2 linked regions of the Astyanax mexicanus genome follow. The protein of the gene in region 1 interacts with the protein of each later gene in a pairwise test. Links are inferred from orthologs where the notes say so. Each region holds a gene or a part of one and is shown on either strand. Other genes may lie near its edges. The genes, in order: aptx and xrcc4.

The links.
Region 2: the proteins of aptx (region 1) and xrcc4 interact in binary tests that used the Homo sapiens proteins (3 or more experiments, as listed by UniProt). The link is inferred for Astyanax mexicanus from reciprocal best matches to the Homo sapiens genes APTX and XRCC4.

The regions. Positions count from the first base shown.
Region 1 is NC_064432.1:22,363,682-22,374,828, forward strand, and holds the start of aptx (aprataxin), read left to right. Parts: upstream 1-6,342; 5' UTR 6,343-6,476; exon of another isoform or gene 6,477-6,530; intron 6,531-6,649; 5' UTR 6,650-6,658; coding exon 6,659-6,788; intron 6,789-7,319; coding exon 7,320-7,366; intron 7,367-9,935; coding exon 9,936-9,989; intron 9,990-10,102; coding exon of another isoform or gene 10,103-10,154; coding exon 10,155-10,394; intron 10,395-10,905; coding exon 10,906-10,965; intron 10,966-11,147. Other genes in the region: uncharacterized protein lcorl, read left to right, coding at 1-304, 1,036-1,049. UniProt on the Homo sapiens protein: DNA-binding protein involved in single-strand DNA break repair, double-strand DNA break repair and base excision repair.
Region 2 is NC_064427.1:67,095-78,190, reverse strand, and holds the start of xrcc4 (DNA repair protein XRCC4), read right to left. Parts: upstream 5,419-11,096; 5' UTR 5,358-5,418; intron 1-5,357. Other genes in the region: tmem167a (protein kish-A), read left to right, coding at 5,419-5,493, 5,902-6,011, 7,290-7,324, 7,428-7,498; ubiquitin-like-conjugating enzyme ATG10, read right to left, coding at 10,642-10,744, 10,830-10,927, 11,086-11,096.

The sequences.
Region 1 (11,147 bases):
GAGTGCAGGGTTTTCTTAAAAAAGATCAACTCTCCCAGCTCAACATCAGTGACTGTTCACACTGTCTCCCCGGCTGGGTGTAATGTCCCTATGAAAGAAGAAAAACAAAAGGACAGAGAAACCGCCAAGCTGCAGAAGACGTTCTACTCTCCAAGAAAATCTCACTCAACTACAACCACCCCAAGCAAGTCGGGTGAAAAGCGCAGAAGTTTCCATCCAAATGAGTCGTCTTCAGCAAAAAGGACACGACAGTCGAGGAGCAGCAGAGGAGTCCTGGCAGCCAAATGGTGCGATTTTGTGATTGGTAAGTGAGGGTTTTTCTTATATGTTAAATATGAATTAAATAAAATCACTATCAGTCTGGCAGAACGAGCTTCTAGCGAGATTGCTTAAGGCTACTTTTATACAGCACGTTAAAATCAGATTTTCTCACCAAATCCAGAAACCTTACCAAATCTCTGAACTAAAATAAAAGTTTATCACTGTTTGCTCCCTTTTTCAGAGTTATAATTATAATGCGAACACCAATCCCTCCAACCTGTCTGGATCTGATTCTTTGCATATTTCGCTGAAAAACGTCAGGTTAAGAAAGCATATTTTAGGCTGTTCCCATATCTGTCATTTGTCCATGCTTTTAAAACTGATGCTCACGTACTAAAGAGAAAAGCTTCACAGAAAGTTTTGGTTTCATCCCCACCATAATATGGCTTATCACACAGATAGCACTTTAGCTCACTGTAAAAAAAAAATAAAATAAAATAAAAAAAAATATCTCAGGCAAGGACACTGCTTTGCATTATGTCCTCATATATTTTATTAGAAACACAGAGCAGTTGCGACATAAGCCTGCTGATATTATTATAACAGTGACATCAGTCCACATTGCGCTGTGTGAAGCCTTATTATCCAACATCTACTTAGTGAATTTTCCCAAGTGATAATGTTGTTAATGGAAGTGATGATATGTACTGTCTAAAATCAATATATCTACATTTAATGCTGTTTCTTTTACCTTGCAACCTCTGCCTTTTACAGGACCACCCAGATAACAGAATATTTCAGCAGGACAGTACAGACAACTCAAAACATAAGGTGCCTTTAACAGCAGACTGGCTGAAAATCAAGAGCATTAGGACACGCACACAACCTCAGCGAGCATCATGTAGCAAAAGACTTTAATTATGAAAACTTGCACTATGTAATCTTATTGTGTCTTTATTTTATATATCTGTAAACGTGGCCTTTTATTACTTTTTGAGACCTGATTTATTTTATTATTGTAAAGAACCAGGACACCGAAAGGTGTTCTTGTTTTTTGTTTTTTTTTTCTAAATGTGTGAAGAAGTGTTTAAAATATTCCTGTCAATTTGCAAAGCCGCTAATCCTGGAGTACTGTAAACATCCCACACTCTTTTCAGTAAATGAAATACTGTAGCTGCATTCGTAACAAGGACACGTTACATACTTTTGAAGGTACCTTAACATCAGGACCTTCTCTGGTTCCACTTTTAGGTGAAAAATTTGCCTTAGCTGTTCAAGATTAATACAGTCAGTTAAGCTGGTTTTGAGATCTAATACAAACAGAGCAGGAAGTGCCATTTCACTGAAGCTGTAGCTAAAATGTCCTTCTGTACGGGTCTCTGGAACAATCTTGGCCCAATGTTTATCTGACTGACATTCTTTTCTAAAGCATTAATTCAATGTTATGTTGCATTGCACTACAAACAGTACTTCTGTTACTTTTTTTAATGGACTGCCACTGTTCTCCTCGAGTGCAATGTTCCATTTTCTTATGCCGAGGTGTTACGAGGTGTTTTTAGGTTATTTATGTATTAAATATTTAGGTTTTGTTATTTACAAAACACCCCCATACAAAACGACTTGGGGGAGTAAAAGCACGACTTGTAGTATGTGATCCCTACATTTCGTGGTCATGTTTAAACTCTATTAAATGCAGCCTAATCTTTTTTCTGTTCAGTTTAGACTAAAAGATGGTGTTAATACACTTTTTTAAACTACTAAACTAATACATTCAGAATAAAAGTTCAGTTTAAAAAATGTTTATCTGGATTTTAATCTTTTCATCTGATTCAAGTTTGATTGGGGTTCAGTCAGGTGCATTATTTGTTTCTTGTAGCGTCATATACCATTCTTAAATGGGTGCAATCTTCGTGGAATCCCTGTTTCTAAAAAAGTTGTGTCCTAATTCTTCAATGAAACATTTTGTTGTTTTTGTCCGATCTGCTGCTCATGACTTTCAATACATACTGTCCGATCTGATGGTCCTGCAGAAACACGTGGATAGCAGATCAGAAAAAGGGAGGGAGGTTTTATACATCTCAGTGAACTCCTTCAAAAAATTAAGGACTGGTGCTATCTTTTACACACACTCTGATATCTGTGCTTTGTCTTTTACATATGTGTTGTGTCAGAAAAATTAAAGCTCTTTTAAATGTGTTGCCTTGATTTCTTTTATAAAATAAATATCAGTTTCTGAATAAAGGCAGGGAATTTATACCTGTCCACTTTGGGCTGGTGTGGTTGCATGTTTTTTTATTCCAGCCAAGCAGGATTAAGTCACCAGTTGTTTGAAGACTGATCGGCTGATTAAACAAGTGGAATCAGCAGTGCTGCTTATTGTTTAGGAGGAACATTCATAGCCACACTGGCCCAGTATGGACCGTTTTGATAGCCCTGGTTTAAAGAATGAATTTTGTTTGAAATACTTCTTAAAATGAAGATCATGGTTGGGACAGAGATAACACAGGAGCACTGCCTTTAAAAAACATCACAAAGGCTGCAATACCAATCAGTGCCAGTGCAGTCACATTTTTTTTTTGCTTTGCTTAAATAGGGTCGGGAATCCCATTCCCATTCCCTTCTGGTCCAAACAACAGCTTCCTCCTTATTTGATGATCAATTTGTGGTCACTGGTACAGAAAGCAAACGAGACAGAAACGATTTGAAATTTGTAAGAAGTCATTTGAGGACGAAGAAAAATGTGCAGGTCCCACCGAGATTTGAACTCGGATCGCTGGATTCAGAGTCCAGAGTGCTAACCATTACACCATGGAACCCTTCTTGCTCAAAGAATTGGATTCAGAGTCCAGAGTGCTAACCATTACACCATTGAACCCTTATGGTCCAATCAACAGCTTCCTCCTTATTTGATGATCAATTTGTGGTCACTGGCACATCAAACGAAAGCGACAGCAACAATTTGAAATTTGTAAGAAGTCATTTGAAGACAAAGACAAATGTGCAGGTCCCACCGAGATTTGAACTCGGATCGCTGGATTCAGAGTCCAGAGTGCTAACCATTACACCATGGAACCCTTCTTTAAATATGCTTACTGTAAAATTATAATATATTTACTAAGTATTACACCTGTATCACTATTATACACCAGGTATGTTAGAAATGTACTAAGAATTGATGTTAAATATATGCTATCTATTTACATTGGAGTAAAAATATGCTTCTTGTTCCTGTCTTTTGTAAGCAGAACACTTCTAGTATAGTATATACTTTGTTGGGTATAAAAATAGATTTTAACATACTGTACTACAATTTTTAGCATGTTACAAATTTACTTCAAATGTTATAAATGTAGCAATTTATTTTTCTTTTTAAAAAGTTACAGGATACGTTGTACTTTGTGAACTACTGTAAAATCTGTTTTTAGCACACTTTGCTAAAAATGTACAAAAGTATATTTGGAAATCAGTATTTTAGAAGTATGCTGAATTACATTGAAGTAAATGTGTAATTCATAGTAGTCTATTTATTTAAAATGCACTGTACTGTACTTGTTTTAAGAGTATGATCAAAGTTTACTTTCAAACATTTGATGAAAGCATAATATTAATGTACTTTTAATATATTTTAAGTAAGTACATAAATCTGTTAATATATTAACAGCATACTTAGACATTTCTCAATATGTTTTAAGTACAATTAAGTATATATTTTTCCACCAGAGTATACTTGTACCTGAGTAAGGAATGTCAATACTCTTGATATCTGTGGTTGCAGAGCCGACAGGCCCACTGAGACTAACCTATTCAGGCCGAAATAGCTCAGTTGGGAGAGCGTTAGACTGAAGATCTAAAGGTCCCTGGCTCGATCCCGGGTTTCGGCAGAGGGTTGAGATGTTTTGAGGAGCAGTGCTCTCTGCTGGTGAAACGCTGCAGCTTACTGCATTTTCTTTGTAGTAAACATCACTTCCTGTGTGACACCTGTGGACACAAATCACTCCTGTGTTCATGGGGTTATAATGGTTAGAACTCTGTAAATGTAAATGCAGCATACTACACTGCAATTACAGTAACTATTAACAAAATACAACACTAATATTAAGAAAAACACACGTTTTTGTTGACTACATAATTCATTTCATGCTCCGCCATATGCTAATATTATTAATAATATCAATCCACAACATAGAACATAATAATAATACAAATTGAATTACGAGGTGTGTCCAAATTTGAACTATTTTTATTATTTGTATGTATTTTTAAAACTTTATTTTTGATTTGACTTTATTGTTTTGATCTTTGATCTCATACACTCTTTTGTGACCCTTAATTTGATTTTAAATTATATTTACAGATGTGCATAAAATATGAATGTACATATATTTGTAAATATATTCCTAGTCCTTAATGATTTGCCTTTAATTCTTTAAACCTTTACATGTCTTGTAAAACAATAATAGTATTAAAGTATGTATTTTATGGACAGTGCTAGATTTCTGTATGGGGCAGCTGGGTGTTACTGGTACTGTGTTGTATGCTGTTAGTGTGGGTAATCTCCACAGAATGAAAAATAAAGCAGTAGAGAAGATAATGGGCATGCCACAGGTCTGACAGAAACACTGAATTTCTTGAAATATCAGGCCGAAATAGCTCAGTTGGGAGAGCGTTAGACTGAAGATCTAAAGGTCCCTGGTTCGATCCCGGGTTTCGGCAGAGGAAGTGAGATGTTTTGAGCAGCAGTGCTCTCTCCTGGAGAGAGTCATATATGGACCTATTAAGTGTACAAATACGGTACACTATACGGTAATTACAGTGAATGTTATACAAAATATATATAAAATTTTAGGTAAAATTTAGGACTTTATTATTTATTATTTGAGCATTCATATCGCAATATTCTTGTGCAATGTTTTTGCAATGCGACATCAATATCCATTTCTCAAAACTTTTCATTGTTATTACAAAGTAAAATTCACGCATTATTACTATTTATTTTACTCCAATCATTGTTGCAAAGATTGCAATATCAAAATCATGACATGTTTAATCATCGACTGCTGCCGAAATTTGGAAAAATTCCAGTATTATTTTATGTCGCACTAGATATTAAAATATCGTGCAGCCCTAGTAAAATCTAACAATACATAAGTTGTTTGCAATATTTATTTTTGTCTCAAGTCAGCATTCACAGCCTATATTACAAAATGAACATCTATAATATACAGTATATCCAGTCTCAGTCTTGTTTTATGCTTATTATTACCATACAGCATTTTCAGCAATCTTCACACATCTTATTTTATTTTTTTTTGTCTGCCTCCAAAAATATACAGGGAAGTACCTGCATTTTAACCTTAATTTATACATTTTAACCACATAATATCATTGTTGTTTTATTTTTTTCACATCAATATAAATATAATTCCATTTATACAGTCTTTACAAATGTATTCTTTTATTTGCACTATTATCTATTATTAAATCTATTATTACACATTTACACACTAGAGAGTTTTACACAGAGAGATTTACACAGTTGAGAGTTAATATTAAGTATTTTGTGTGTTTTTTTCTTACAATTTACTTGATTTTGATTATCTTTTTTGTTAGTTTTGTATTTTTTAGGTAATGTTTTTGTTTACAGTGTAAAAAAAGGATTTTTATCAGTTAGCTTTAGTATAAGTAATAGTGTGTAAGCAAACAAGCAATTGAACTGTGTTTTTCATCTCAGATCAATACAAATATTATAGTACAAATGTTCAATCAACGTATTTGAGTTGAATTAAATCAAGTTTCATTTATTTTAACCACATTATTATTATTATTTTTTTAGGTCGCACGGCTGAACCAGGGTTACAGTGTGCTTCTGCGCCCTAAAACTTTTTATATTAGGGAGCAGGACACATGTGATTAGTCGTAATTAATCACAAAATATTGTTGTGATTAATTCAATTCATTTTTAAAATCGATTGACAGCACTCATTTTAATTAGTTTAATAAAATATGTCCCTATATTTTAATACATATATTTTTAAAACGTTTTTGAGTTACCGTTTTACCCGAACTTTTATTTTGAAGTGTTGAAATGCACATGCGGCACATTGCTGCTGCTGCTGGTTCGGAGAGTTTCTATTTCAAAGGCTTTTTAAAAACCTCGCCATCGCACTAAGCCGTGTCAGACCGCCTATAAACCATATTTGAGGATCATCTTAAAGAGATCAGAGTCTTTATCCTTATAGCTGCTACAGATGCTACAGAAGCTACAGATAGTCAGTCTGTGTTGTAGCTGAATTAAAGGCTAGCCTAGCCTGGCTAATATAGCCAGCTACACTATACAGCAGATTTAGTACAGTCAGAAAGTTACATTTGCTTTATAAAACTCATTTACAGCAGGAAAATGCCCAGCTGCTGGTTTGTAAGCGAAGATGACTGTCACAAACCCATTCAGCTCCCTCACCAGCAGACTGTGAGTTTGGGTCGAGGTCCAGAAACTAAGATTAAAGACCAGAAGTGCTCCAGAAACCAAGGTAAAATCTTCCCTTTTTATCCCACACACAGTTTCATTTACTTCTAACGAGGAGTAATTGAGAGTAGTCTCACTTATATACCTATAGAACCAGTGAAAATTTGGATACACCTCTTCTCATTCAAGTGTTTTTTTTATTATTATTATTTTTAACTTTGTAGATTTAATGCTGAAGTAATTAAACATATACACGAACAAATGCGGAATTATTTAGTAAACAAAACGTGTTAGCACATGATTAACATTGCTAAAATTGCTTACAGTATATTGTGATACATTCCATTGTAACCCCAGTATTGCGATATGTACTGTATGGGCAAGTTCTTGCCAATATACAGCCCTACTAGAATATAACAGTTTGACCGTAAACCAGATAAAGTTTGATAACTAAATTAAATTCTGAACCAGAAGCCATAGCTAATTACTGATGTTCAGTGTCCTAGGTTTTTAAGCTCAAGCATTGCAATTTAATACAGGTTAGCGACTGTTACATATCTAATTATAATCTTTACATATTTCTGTATTTTCACAGTTGAACTGAGAGCAGATTGCAACCGAGGATTTATCAGTGTGAAACAGGTAAGCTAGTCATTTCTAATCATTTTAAAGAGTAAATAACAAAATCATATAAAATAGCATTGTTTGTTGTTGTACAAAGCAACTATTGGGAGTGAATAAAGCAAACTTTAGTACTGTCATTTTGTCAGTCTTAGCACTGACTTAATTAGCAGCTGCAGGATAATAATCGATACTCTACTTGGTTGTCTACTGAGATTTGAGGCATTTATGACCAATTAATCTTTGGTGTGTTGAGTCATTTACTTTATTTTACTCGTGTACTGTCTTCTTTAACCCAGACTGGAATAAAAATAAATTATTTAAAACTCATTCGAATAATTTCTCCCACGATAAATATATGGGATAGGTCTAGTTAGTTTCATAAATGGAAATACAGTACATACCATCAGGGCTTTATCCATGCAGTACTCGCTGCCTGGGCCGCCATCCTGCCATCACTGTACTTGGTTCAGCACAACCTTAAAAAAAAAGAACACTAGTTTGTACACTTATTAATAGGATTTCGCTTTCTGCTACCTTAGCAGTGTAATTTATGTAATAAATATTTTAAAAACCTTAATAATGCTCAGACAATTATTATTCTTGTTATTTGACAGCGGTGCTGCTCTAATCATGGATTTAGTTAATTCAGCAGTGCTATTGTAATTACACATTAGCATGTTAGCTAGATATCTCTGCAGTGTTATTTCAGTCATACAATTGTTATTTTACTTGTTTTAACTAATTGTACTTTTAGCTTGCAAACTAGTTAATTCAAAAGTGCTGTCTTAGTCAAACCTTTAGCTAACAGTTAGTTGCTAGCTGCTATGTTATCTCAGCAGTGTAAATTAAAGTTATAAATTTTTTTGTTACTTATTAGTGTTATTCCAAACATAATTGTATTTACGCAGTGCAAATTAGTCATAATTATACCTTAACAATGCTGTTCCAGTTGTTATTTTATTTCAGAAGTGCCGTATGTATCATGATTAAATTATCTTAACTTAACTGTGCTATTCTAATTAAAATTTAATTCTTATTATGAGTTTGGTCATTTCAATAGTTCTAGCCACACATTTAACTAGTCAACTAGTTTGAATTCACCTAGGTAACTTAACTAACACTAGCTAGCTTGTCTAATTAACCAGCTAGGTAACTAACTAGCTAAATAACTAATGCTAGCTAACTTGGCTAACTTATGCTAGCTAGCTTGGCTAACTAACGCTAGCTAAATAACTAACGCTTGCTTAGCTAACTAACCAGCTAGGTAACTAACTAACCCTAGCTAGCTTAGCTAACTCTAGCTGGCTAACTAACCAGCTAGGTAGCTAACTAACACTAGCTAGCTTAGCTAACTAGCTAAGTAGCTAACTAACTCAACTAGCTAGGTAAGTAAAGCTAGCTAGCCTAGCAAACTAACCCTAGCAAGGTAATTAACGCTAGCTATGTCATTAGATAGCTAACTAGCTAGCTTTTACCCTCAGCAGTGTTATTTAATCATAATTTACCTTATTAGTGTAATTTACTTACACAGGAGCGCAGTTTTCCACAGAGAAAGACAGTGTTTTCGTAAAAACGAAAAAACTAATGGTGAAAAAATTAATGCTATGGCTAAATTAGCTCAGCTACAGTTAGCTGGTAGCTATGTTACTACAGATGGTATCTTCTAGCTGAAGAGCAGCCTGTGTGTGAGGAGGTAATGTTACTAAACTGATACAGAGTGTTATAAATGATACTAAAAACTTTATTTCATGTAGTTTATTAGAGTAGAAAATAAAAATGAACCTAAACCAGCTCCCTGCTGGCTCTCTACCTCACCTCTCTCTGTCTGCTGAGTGCCTGCCTCTGCTGCTGAAACAACCTGTAATCAACATTATTGATTACAATATGATATGGCACACCCCTGCTTGCTTAATTAATTTTTTATTATATATTTTTTCAAATATTTATTTATTATATTTATTTATAGCTGTTTTCAGCTGATTATTTTTGTCCTTGTGGCTTTAATATTTATGGATCTTAAAATCCTGAAATAATTATTTGAATCTGCATTTCGTATGATTGAATTACATTTACCTGACTTTTTAATAACATGAAATATTCAATGGTTTAATTAAAAAACGTTTCAAATTTTAAAATATGTTTTTGTGAAATTTACCATAAAATCAGAACTGTCTACCAGATGTTTGCCCTCTAAACTAAATTTGTATTTCTGAGTTTTGAATCAAATAGATTTAAATGTACGGATCTGATTTTACATATTAAAATTATTGTATCTATTTTTTATCTGAAAATGTTAAAATCTGAAATTGGAACAACAGCAAATTGCACAACTCAAAATACAAAAATATTTAACAATACAAAAAACAATACAAATTTCAAGGTACATTTAATTTAAATATAAAAATAATTCAAATTCAAATATTTGTCTGCTTTTACACTCCATAGGATGGGTGCTTACAGCTTATTTATTACATTAACACATTTATTATATTATTTACACAGTAAATATGTCAGCCTTTGTTTATGTAAATATTAAACATGTGTCCACACTGTAATGACTTGTATTTTGTTGTATTTTGCTTTTCAGTTAGGAACTAACCCCACCAGTGTGGACCATGTGGTTGTGGGCAAAGGCAATCAGGTAAAGCACACCTGCATTTTAAATTTCACACCCATGCACCTGAAATTACCTGTGTCATCATTAGTGTCATCATTAGTGTTCCGTGCTGTTTAGTAACTGATGCTGTTGTACAGGGCGCTGGCTGTGACATCATACCAACATCATTTCCCTCACCTTTACAACCAGGTGCCTTTAAAGCCGGGTCAGAAACTCTACATGGTCAACCAGCTTTACCCGTACACCGTGCGCTTCACTGAGGACACGTCGGTGACTGGATCTGCTGGGGAGAAGAGCAAACCAGCGAAAAGGCCACACCAGCGAGATTCTACTGAAGATAAGAACGAGGAGAGTCCAGCCAGGAAAATGTCCACGCCGTCTCATACAGAACAGGAGTCAAACAGAGCAAAAACAACACCAGCAAAAGCGGTGAGATGCATTAAAACATTTTAAAAATGTAAAAACAAATCTAGGTTTAGGTTTTTAACTCTTTTAGAAGCTGCAGTTTAATTTCTGGTGATCAAATAAAAAGCATTATTTTCTAAAATTCTGTATTATTGGTCAGTGTCGCTTCGAACTCTGGGTCATACTGCTTGCCGCAGCAGCTGGAGTCCTAGAGAGCACAAATGGCCATGCTCTTTCTGGGTGGGTAGATGTACTAATTTAATGTTGTTCAGCACAGGTGTCTGTTAGCTGATGTATCAGAGCTGGGTTTCTGTGCTTTCCTCCTAAAAGAGGCAAAGTCTGGCTTCATATGTATCGGAGGAGGCATGTGCCAAAGGTTTCTATAGCCATATTTATGCATTCAGAATATATTCTTGTGAATAAGGTAATTAAAATGATATAATGAATAATTTTGCTTCATTGACTTTAAATGGATAAGAACTAACTCTTGACTCTCCCTGTTGTCTTTTATATGTGAATGTGCTGTTTTCCATAGGAGCCTGCAGGCCATTGGAGTCAAGGTCTGAAAGTTTCAATGCAGGACCCAAAGATGCAGGTATTAATTTACACAAGACTTAAAAAGACTTTTTTTTTTTTTTTTTAGCTTGAATGTTTAAATGCTATAATTTAGATCATTTTTTAACACATGATGGAATCACTTTTTTAATGTATAATCCAAATCACTCAAGGAGCTGGAATATACAGTATGTGAAGTGACACATTACAAGTAAACAAGAT
Region 2 (11,096 bases), on another chromosome or scaffold:
CCTGCTTAATGACAGAGAGGTTCTGAGAAAAGAGCTGGACGAATATAAAGAGAGTGCACAGAAAGAGTTTGCAGACCTAAAACAGGAGCTGAACCAAGAATTATTGAGCCTCAGACAGGAGATACACCTCAGAGACACAGTCATAGAGTCTCTAAAAGAACAACTAAAATCCCAATCATCCCCCATGAATACTGCCCATACTAAAGATGCCCAACTCACCCAAAGCTCCTCAGACACTGCTCCTAACCCCACCAGGTCAGAGGACACCCAGACACCGCTCACCACACAAAGAGAACATACTGAACCAATTGCAGAGACTGCCACAGTGCCCCAAAATCACCAAGAAAACAAAACTCATACCGCCCCAATCCGAGACCCCAGAGCCAGCAGACCTTCTGCATCACACACAGATGCAGAAGTAGCAATACTTATTGACTCAAACGGAAAGTTCTTACAAGAAGAAAAACTTTTCCCAGGAAGGAAAACTACAAAGATATGGTGCCCAAGAACAAGAGACGCCCATCAAATCCTGTCTGGCAACATCCTTGACAAGCCCACCTGCATCATCATTCATACAGGCACAAACGACCTTAGAGCTGAGCAGGAGAGAGTTGGTGGATTAGTGTGTAGAGTAGCACAGAGAGCTGCAGAAAACTTCCCCAGTGCCAAGATCATAGTCTCCACCCTCCTTCCTCGCAAGGACTTTCATCCAGCCACCATCCAGAAAGTCAATGCTGAAATTTCAAGAGGATGTTCCCTGATCCCTAATGTGCACCTGGCCCACCACTCCAACATCGGCCCCCATCATCTTTATGATCACGTGCACTTAAACAGAAACACTGTTAAAGAATTTGCCAAAACTTTGAAAGACGTGGCACTGGGTCGACAAAGACATGTAGGTCCTAAACCCATGTACAGAGAAGGAGAGCATGCAGCAATGCAAAGGTTCCACACAATCACAAGGAGCCCACCCACACGTAAACCCCCCCAAAGGCCACCGCCTGGACTCCAGCGATACCAGCTCAACTTACCTCAGTCATCTCAGCATGTCCCACCTGCCAGACCTGCACCCCGGCCTTCACCACCCAAAGCAAAGCCCCACCACCCACCAATTTCATCAACCCACCAGAACCAACCAGAGAGCAGAGCTACAGAAGCCCCACTGCCCCAGACTCACAACCCACAGCAACAGTGCAGCTACGCAGATGCTCTCAAAGGAACCCACACCAAAAAGGACATGGGTGAGATCAAGCAATTACTGCAATATATCTGCACCAGACTTGTGTAGGAACTACAAAAACTAAAAAAAGAGCAGAAAAATATAATTTAAAAAAAATGTTCATGTTCATGTTTTAGCACTTGATTGAATGGTGTATAATTCTCTCATGTACACAGATCATTTACAAATTTAATGTTTATGTGTCTATCTCATTTTAACTGAAAAAATAAGAAGGAAAACTATGGCATCATTTTCAATATGTATGTGGAATATCCAAGGCTTAAACTCATCAGCCTTTGGCCTAAAAAGTCTAAACAGAGACTTTCTAGACTGTATCAAAGACCTTGACATCGTAATCTTACAGGAGACATGGTGTAAGGCTGAGATGGTCACTCACTGTCCTAAAGAGTACAGAGAAATTATAGTACCCCCACAGAAGCTGAGCACAATACGTCAGGGTAGACGCTCAGGGGGGATAATAATGTGGTACAAATCAAATCTTCATTTAGCTATAGAAATTCTAAAAACAGGGAAATATCATATTTGGATTAAAATCAGAAACACTGTAATCGGCTCACAGAAGGACATCTTCCTCTGTGCCATTTACATTCCTCCCCCAGAGTCCCCATACTACACCGAAGACATGTTTTCTGAGCTAGAGAAGGAGGTGTGCCATTTCCAGGCCCAGGGAAATGTGCTTGTGTGTGGGGACCTGAACGCCAGAACAGGGACACAGCCTGACTTTATACCCTCACAAAAAGATCATTCTAACTTATCATATCTTATTAACAATAATTCTTTTTACCTCCCCAGAAACAGCCATGACAGCGTAGTAAACAGAAACGGAAGAGACCTCCTGCAGCTCTGTCAAAGCCTGGGTCTGTACATTGTCAACGGTAGGACACGAGGGGACTCTTTAGGAAGATACACATTTTGCTCACCTCTTGGGAACAGTACAGTAGATTACATGATCACAGATTTAGATCCTTTCTCTCTCAGTGCATTCACTGTAAAACCACTAACCCCTCTGTCTGACCACAGTCAAATTACTGTGTTCATTAAAAGGACAGAGACTAACAGCACAGCACACACTCAGCCCAGTAAGCTGTACAACATCCGGAGACCATACAGATGGGCCCAAAACAGCACAGAAGAGTTCCAGAAAACAATCAGCACCCAAGAAATTCAAACTCAGTTAGACACCTTTCTGGATACCATATATTATCACAGTAAAGAAGGAGTCAATCTGGCAGTAAAAAATCTAAATACAATATTCAAAAACACATCAGAAAAGGCTAAATTAAAAATTATTAATACATCAAAACCTAAGCTTAAAAAAGAAGATAACTGGTTTGACCAGGAGTGCCAAAACATACGTAAGGAACTAAGGAAATTATCAAATCAAAAGCACCGTGACCCAAAAAACACCCACATACGCCTTCTTTACTGTGAGACATTAAAACAGTATAAACGTACACTCAGAACCAAAAAAGCCCAGCACACTCACAAACAACTGACACTAATTGAGGAGTCAATCAAAACCAATCAATTTTGGGAAAACTGGAACAACCTTAAAAAAAGAGACCGTGAAGTATTGGCTATACAAAATGGAGATATTTGGACGAACCACTTCCAGACACTTTTCAGAAAAATAGAGACAAATTCAAATCCACAGCAAAATAATATAAACAAAAAGCTTAAAAAACTAGAATTAGCTGTTAAAGACAATCAAAACCCATTAGACTTCTCAATTACTGCGCAGGAACTTAAAGAAAAGATTAACAAACTAAAACCAAAGAAAGCAAGTGGGCCAGACGGCATACTAAATGAAATGATAAAAAGTTCAAGTTCTAAATTACAGCTGGCAATTGTGAAATTATTTAACCTGGTTCTGAGTGTAGGTTACTTCCCTGAAATCTGGAACTATGGACTTATAACACCAATCTTTAAAAATGGAGATAAATTCGACCCCAATAATTACAGAGGCATCTGTGTGAACAGTAATCTGGGGAAGTTGATGTGCAGCATCTTAAATTCTAGACTTTTAAACTTCCTTATGGAGCACAATGTCTTGAGTAGAAGTCAGATTGGATTTTTACCAAATTTCCGCACCACTGATCATATTTACACCCTACACACCCTAATTGATAAATATGTTACCCAAAATAAATCCAAAATTTTTGCATGTTTTATTGACTTTAAAAAAGCATTTGATTCAATCTGGCACCAAGGATTATTATACACTCTGCTAGAGAGCGGTGTAGGGGGTAAAACATATGATCTAATTAAATCAATGTACACTGGAAACAGATGCGGAATAAAAATTGGCAGCAAACAAACAAACTCCATCTCTCAGGAGCGCGGAGTGAGACAGGGCTGCTGCTTGAGTCCAACATTATTCAATATTTATATTAACCAATTGGCAAAAATATTAGAGAAGTCTGCAGCCCCGGGTCTCACTCTGCACGACTCAGAGATCAAATTCCTGCTCTACGCAGACGACCTGGTCCTGCTGTCCCCCACAGAACAGGGTCTACAGCAGAACCTGGACCTGCTGGAGCAGTACTGCCAGACCTGGGCCCTGGCAGTAAACCTAAAAAAGACAAATATTTTAGTATTTCAAAAAAGATCCAGATCTCAGGGGCAAAAGCACATATTTAAATTAGGTACAAATAATATTGAATATTCAAAAAACTACAATTATTTAGGTATTACAATCAGTTCATCTGGAAACTTTACATTGGCAGTGAATGAACTGAAAGGAAAAGCACGCAGAGCTTTCTACGCCATAAAACAACAAATTCCTGTAGAAATTCCAATTAGAATTTGGTTAAAAATATTTGAGTTTGTAATTCAACCTATTGCCCTTTATGGCAGTGAAGTGTGGGGTCCGCTTACAAACCAAGAATTTAGTAAATGGGACAAACATCCAATTGAGACCCTGCATGCAGAATTCTGTAAAATTATTCTGAAGGTTCACAGAAACACCCCAAACAACGCATGCAGGGCAGAATTAGGCCAATTTCCACTGATTTTAAAAATACAAAAAAGGGCAATCAAATTCTGGACACATTTACAACACAGCGACCCCCACTCTTACCATTATAAATCTCTGCAGTACCAAGAGTTGAGCAAAGACACCAGTCCCCTCACTCAGCTGGTCCTGAAGCACAGTTCTACACTCACACACATTAACACACTTACACACACAGCTCTAACACACACTAACACCCCACACACTCAGGACCAGACACCAATCAGATTCAACCAAATTACAAAACAACTCCAAAAAAACTACATCAGCTATTGGGAAACTCAAACTAAATCTCAGAGTAAACTACAGTGTTATTCGGCCCTAAACCGTCAGTACAGAGCAGCGGAATACCTGAGCACCCTGACTGACCCCAAACTGAGGTCCACCCTGACCAGGTACAGACTCAGTGCCCACAGCCTGGCCATAGAGACGGGCAGGCACAAGAAATCCTGGCTGCCCAAAGAGCAGAGAGTGTGCCCACACTGCCCACTGAACAGACCAGAGACAGAGCTGCACTTCCTTACAGAATGTCCCAAATATTCCCAGATTAGAACCCAATTCTACACCAAATTCACCCACAAATTACCTGCATTTAAAAACATCCCCGATCCAGAAAAACTCCCCTACCTGCTGGGGGAACACAGTGAGTGCTGCACTCTGGCAGCGCAGTACGTCCAGGCCTGCCACAGCCTGAGGGACAGTGAGTGACCACAGATACACTGCTGTACAGAACTACAAGCTCTATTACTCTTTATTATAAATCATATGTTTTTTTTTTTTTTTTTTTTTTTTTTTTTTTTTTCTTATAATAATTAATTTAATTGTTTACTTAAACTTGTGTTCAAATTTACCTGTACAGTTATCTTATGTTAAATTTTGTCAGGAATATATATATATACTTGTTAATCACAGCTTTGGCAATACAAATGTGAAAATTTGTCATGCTAATAAAGCAACTTTGAATTTGAATTTGAATTTGAGTAAAGAGAGTGAAAGGAAAGAGAAGGAAAGTGTTAGAGAGTGAGAGTATAAAGAGTGAGAGTATAAAGAGTGAGAGTATAGAGAGTGAGAGTATAAAGAGTGAGAGGAGTGTTAGTGTTTTACCTGTGGGTCAGCAGGGTGTTAGCATTAGCCTCAGCTTGATTTCTCTGTTTACTCTGTGCAGATGAGACGCGCTGTAGTGTCGTCATTTCCTCTGTGTACAGGAAGTGTGAGGTGGCTTACCGGAGCTGTGGAAATGGTGAGAAAACCGAAACATTTCTTTATTTAATCCCGGATTAAATTGATTTACTAAACGGAGCGCTAAAATTAATATCTTCCCGATGGCGCGCGGAGCTTCTCCCAGAACATCCCGCTGCAGAACCGCCGGGAAACACTAACCTTAGCCCATTAGCTTTAGCCCGTTAGCTTTAGCATTAGCTCGTTAGTTCTGATTAATATTAAAGTTTTTCTCTGTAGAATAAATCTGATTCTACATTAGAACCCCGAGTTACATCTACTAAATATTATCATTAATAATCAACAGCCTGTTTAACATTAAACTAAAGTTTATTTCACCTTGAACCTAAACACTGCAATAAAGAGTGTAAGTTATATTGTATACTGCAATTATTAATCTATGTAACTAATGTTTGTCTATTTTTTGCAGTCTGCAATTTTTAATTTCCAGAGTTTACTGACGGTAATTCTGCTGCTGATCTGTACCTGCGCTTATATCCGAGCTTTAGCTCCCAGCCTGCTGGACAAGAATAAAACAGGGTATGTATCTAAAACAAGATCGTGTACTTTTTATTCATCCTAAAAATAAGCGAAATAAAATGATATTTGTCTTTACATATTTATTTATTTAAAAAATGTTGGACATTATAATTGTTGGACAGTCATAATTAAACACTAAAATAAAGTATGTTTTGGTTTAGAATCTTAAATAAAAAAAAAATAAGGCATCAATATATTTAAGAGGTTTGTCAAATGATAGATCCTTGGAAAAAAATAACATAGATATTTTGCAAAGATAGTGTTTTATTTTTGGGAGAAACTTTAGATCTTAATCTGTGCGTTTGTGTAAAGGAGTGTGTTTCAATCCAGATATAAATATATTTCTGCGTTCCGACGGCTATTAGATTATTAAAGCTGGTAATGCTGCTAGAGGTAACAGTAATGTTAAGAAAAAAAAAAAAAGAATATGTATTTTGGGGCGGCTACCACAAAGCTTTAGAATGGTTTTGAAAAATGTTAGTCTGGAGCTGTAATGTCAAAGCTGCATTTACCGGTTTTACCTATTCTGCTGTTTTGCAGTGTTTAAAGAACGGTTCTTCAGACTCTTGTCTCGTTTTTAGACTTGGTTTTCTAGGGAACCCAAAGTTGTTTTTCTGAGATGTTTCTGAAAAAACCTGGGGTACTTTTATAGAGTATGCAGGTAATGTTGGTTGGATGGCAGATGTTTTTTTTTTTGTTGTTGTTGTTCTGGTAAAACTGTGTGTAATGGATGAATCAGAGTTTATTAAATGTTTTGCTGCACTGTATCTGTTCTGATAAAGACTGAGATGTTCCAAATGTTTGTTTGGTTCTGGTGAAACTGGCCGGGTTTATATGGGCTTTATATTCCAGTCGGCTGTAGATATTTCTGGCGAGGTCCGGCGCCTCCGGAGAGGGATGTCTCTCTTCTAACCCTGATCCTGCTCATCTCTGCAGGAAGATGATTTAATGAGAGCTTAATTCTCCTTGGCATTAAGCCAGGAGCTACAGATACAGAGCGGCTGTGTTGAATTCTGTTTCCATAAGAAGTTAACGGTATTTACAGTTCTCAACATTAAAACTAACGGAATGTACTTTTTAATTTACCTTTAATCAGATTTTACTCACCGGAGAAATGTGCTTCCCACTATAAAAACTACTGATGACTGTTAATCATTTGGGTAACTGTTAATAGTGTAATCAATATCTACTAATTAACATAAATAACATTGTAAATAATGATGCGTGTGTAATATTTAATAATACAGTTCTCTTACTCTCTGTTTTCTACCCCAACAGATTTCTAGGAATTTTCTGGAAATGTGCAAGAATAGGTATGTTATTCTGTATGGGTTCCAAACACCTTGAGAATGTGTGTTTGTGTGTGTGAGTGTACAGTGTAGGTCTACATTATTTAATGCATTGTTTTGTTTGCAGGTGAGCGGAAGAGTCCGTACGTGGCGTGCTGCTGTATCATCATGGCGTTCACCATTTTATTCTCGGAATAGCAGAAGTTGAAGAGCGTTGGCTGAGGATGGATGGATCAGAAATGGAGGGATTTAGGAAGAAGACATCTCTGCGGGAGGGGCTGTGTGATGTGTCGGCGTTTGGGCTGGTTCTGTGCGGTGTTTTCTTTGCTGTGTTCTGCAGCGCGGGGGTTCTGTTAAAGGACAGGAACTGCTTTTGAAGTAAAAGTTGTGCATTTTTCACTCTGACTGTTTTGTAAACATGAATTATTGTTATTGTTATTTGTGTCCAAAAGCTCCCATTATCTCAGGCCCAGAACCACGTAATGAAACGTGGTGGGAGAAGCCGTGGTTCAGTCCAGAGCTGCTCGTGAACGAGTTGCACAGAGATCTCTGACCAGTCCATAAATCTCATCCTGCAGCGACTGTGTTTTCAGCTGTGTGAGTTAACGTTCAAGCGGCTCTACTAAATAAAGTCTGACTTTCTCTCGTCCAAGTCTGAACTCAGTTTATTAAACCTCTTGCTTAACCGCTCTCTCTCTCTTTTTTTATACAGTATATTGCCTTAAAAACCTCAACTACTCATCAGTGTCTTTATTTTATATATATATATATATATATATATATATATATATTCATACATACACAGGAGAGTACAGGAGTGCGCTGTGAGTTTTGGGGGTGTGGGGGTTGTTCACCCCCTCTCGTGGTAAATTGGAACCAGCGCTGGGTTATGAATGGAGCTTTGTGTGGGTATTGTGTAATGAAACCCCTGCAGCTTTAATGTTTGTAAAATTGAATAATAAACGCGGGGAGATCTGAGCTGGCAGCGGCTCGGCGCTGATTCTGTGTGGGGTAATTTTCCTTCGCGTGGGCATACATCAGCCCAGCAGTGCCCGAGTGCGAGTGGTAAACTCTGGACAATCAGCAGATCCACTGTTTGAAGATTGCTGTGTTTACGCTTCCAGAGGGGCATCAGGAGGGTCCAGCTAAACCAGATCAAGCTGTGGCTCTACAGAGCTCAAACATTTACTGTTCTGCTCTTTTACAGTCACAACACTAGTGTTCATGTATGTATTATATATGTATATATTTGTGTGTGTGTTCGTGTATAGATGCAAGTATATAAAACTATATCATATATTTTGTCGCATAGAGTTGGATGATCTGAAGGGTTTGAGTCGATATCCAAAGTTTGAGTTCTCAAATTCTTACTGAAGAGACTTTATTATGCTGTTAATGAATTAATTTAATAATGAACTGAGGAATGCTTTATACTGTTTTAGTTTTTTTATTTACTGGGAGATTAAGCTAATATCCAGTTTAACCCAGTATAACAAGCATCTAGAAGTAAATTCTTCACTTTTCAACTAATACATTTCCATGTTTTTTCCAGACCGTACAGTCTTTAAAATATCAGTGCAGACGGGACACGATGGATTTGCCTAAACATTCAATTATTTTTAACACCAAATTAGCTTTTCTTAGACGATAAACTGAAACACTGAGATTTGTAGAGCAATAATTTCCATGACTTTTCCAAAACTTTCTGGGTATTTTTATTTTTCCAAAACTTATCCAGGCCTAGAATTTGCTGTTTTCAAATTCCATGACTTTTCCAGGTTTTTCATGACCGTATGAACTCTGTCTTCAGTTTGTTGGTTTGGTCAGTGGTGGGTTAGTGGTTGGAGCAGAAGCGGGTTGTGGGTTTGATGCCCAGGTTTCTGCACTGTTGTGCTCCAAGAGTGAAATCTTTCAGTTTAGAAACCAAATCAGTGAAATAATCATCAAATTATATTTTTAATGTTTCTGTAAACCAGATAAAATTCTTACTTTTATTTAAATGTTTTGTCTGAATTATGTTTAACTCTCCCAACTTTTAACAATAATACCAAACATAAGCTTGTGACAAAAACTCCCTAAATATCTTGTCTGTTATCCATAACAATAATATAAAACAATATTGGTATACGCAGTGTTACTGGTGCTGATCAGATATTTGAGGTGGGAAATGTAAAAAATTGTGTTTTTGGAGAATCCAGCTCCTCTGTTCTCCTTCTGAACTGGAATGAAGTCTCGTTGGCTTTACTGGGTTCTGATTGGCTCCATATGGTTTTACTTCCCCTGACATCCCTGATCCAAACCTGAGGGGGTATTTTAACAGGCCCAGTATGAAGACCCCCCCAAAATACACTGAGCTGCAGCACAGGGCCAAGGGGGCAACACAGCGGGCACTAACTGATCTGTGTATCTGTGAAAATCTTAATTACTTTGAGAGACAGAGCACAGCAACTATTTATATTAAAACATCTGGGTTATTTGCATTAGTTCAGTAGTTGGGTAAACTGCAGATATTAGGTTTTCGGTAGTTTCCCACAGTGCTCAGTGTATCAGAATTACCAATAACTTTAATACTTTAAAACAATATCGATAGACAATATAGTTCAGTAGACTGGAAATTAACAAACATTTTTGTACAAACTGGTTTATCATAATATCAGAATAATAATAAATAGAGCCGGCGGTTCTGCTGGATCTGACCCGGCGGTTCTGCTGGATCTGAGCCGGTTCACTGGGACGCTGTTTCATCCTCCAGCTCAGTGCCCTCAGATCAATCTTACTAATAATAAAAACAAAAACATTTAAAACATTTTGTCATTTCTGATACACACACCCATCCAAAACAGCCCACTTTACAAACCAGTACCAGTACACCCAGTTTAAAAATCTCTCCCTCTGGGCTGTATGGTGCCCTATTTAATTAATTACTTTTTTTTTTTTAACACACACAAACGCGCACGCGCGCACACACCTCCCCAACAACATCATACTGCTCCATAGTGATGTGGAATACAGCGACTGTGATTGGTCGGCTGAGCCTCATGCCAGATTTTAGTCCCTGGTGAAAAGATGTTCTCAGTCTGGATCTACTGAACTGCGGTCCGGTTCTTCTGCAGAGTGAAACACTAGATGGTTCAGAATTTCAGACCAATCAGAGGAACCAAGTCCAGAGGAATAGAGAACCGGTGCTCTATTCAGCAAGCAGCTTCAATCCGTCACTAAACTGCAGTGTGAAACCGAAACTAACCGAACCAAATTCAGTTGATACCTCATATCAGTATATCAATATATCAATATATAAATCACACAAACCTCAGCACGGAGTCCAGTCCGGTAAACCACCCTCAGACTCGGTTCTGATCCGGAACTGTACAGTAACTTACTGGTACCACCAGCCTCACCATCGGCCCAACCACACTCAGCCACGTCACCACGTAGTTTATTCTCCTGCAACACACACACTCCTGCACTGTGCACACCTGTTACCATTACTGCGTCCAGCAGAATTAAATTCAGGGCTGAACTGATTTACCTTTTCTCTCTTCTAGCCGTTTCTAAAATCGGCTGCATAAATTCCTCCGTCCGACACGGATGCAGCATGAAGAACGGCTGGCCGAGGACCGGGTGCTCCTGCAGACCAATCACACACACACACACACACACACTGCTATCAGCCGAACATCACATTCTTTCTTCCATATAGTGTCCATGTGTGTTTTATAAAAAAAAAATATTCTGTATTTCTAGATTTAAGTATATATTATATTTATAGAAGAAGGGATTTTAACCTGTTGGGTCA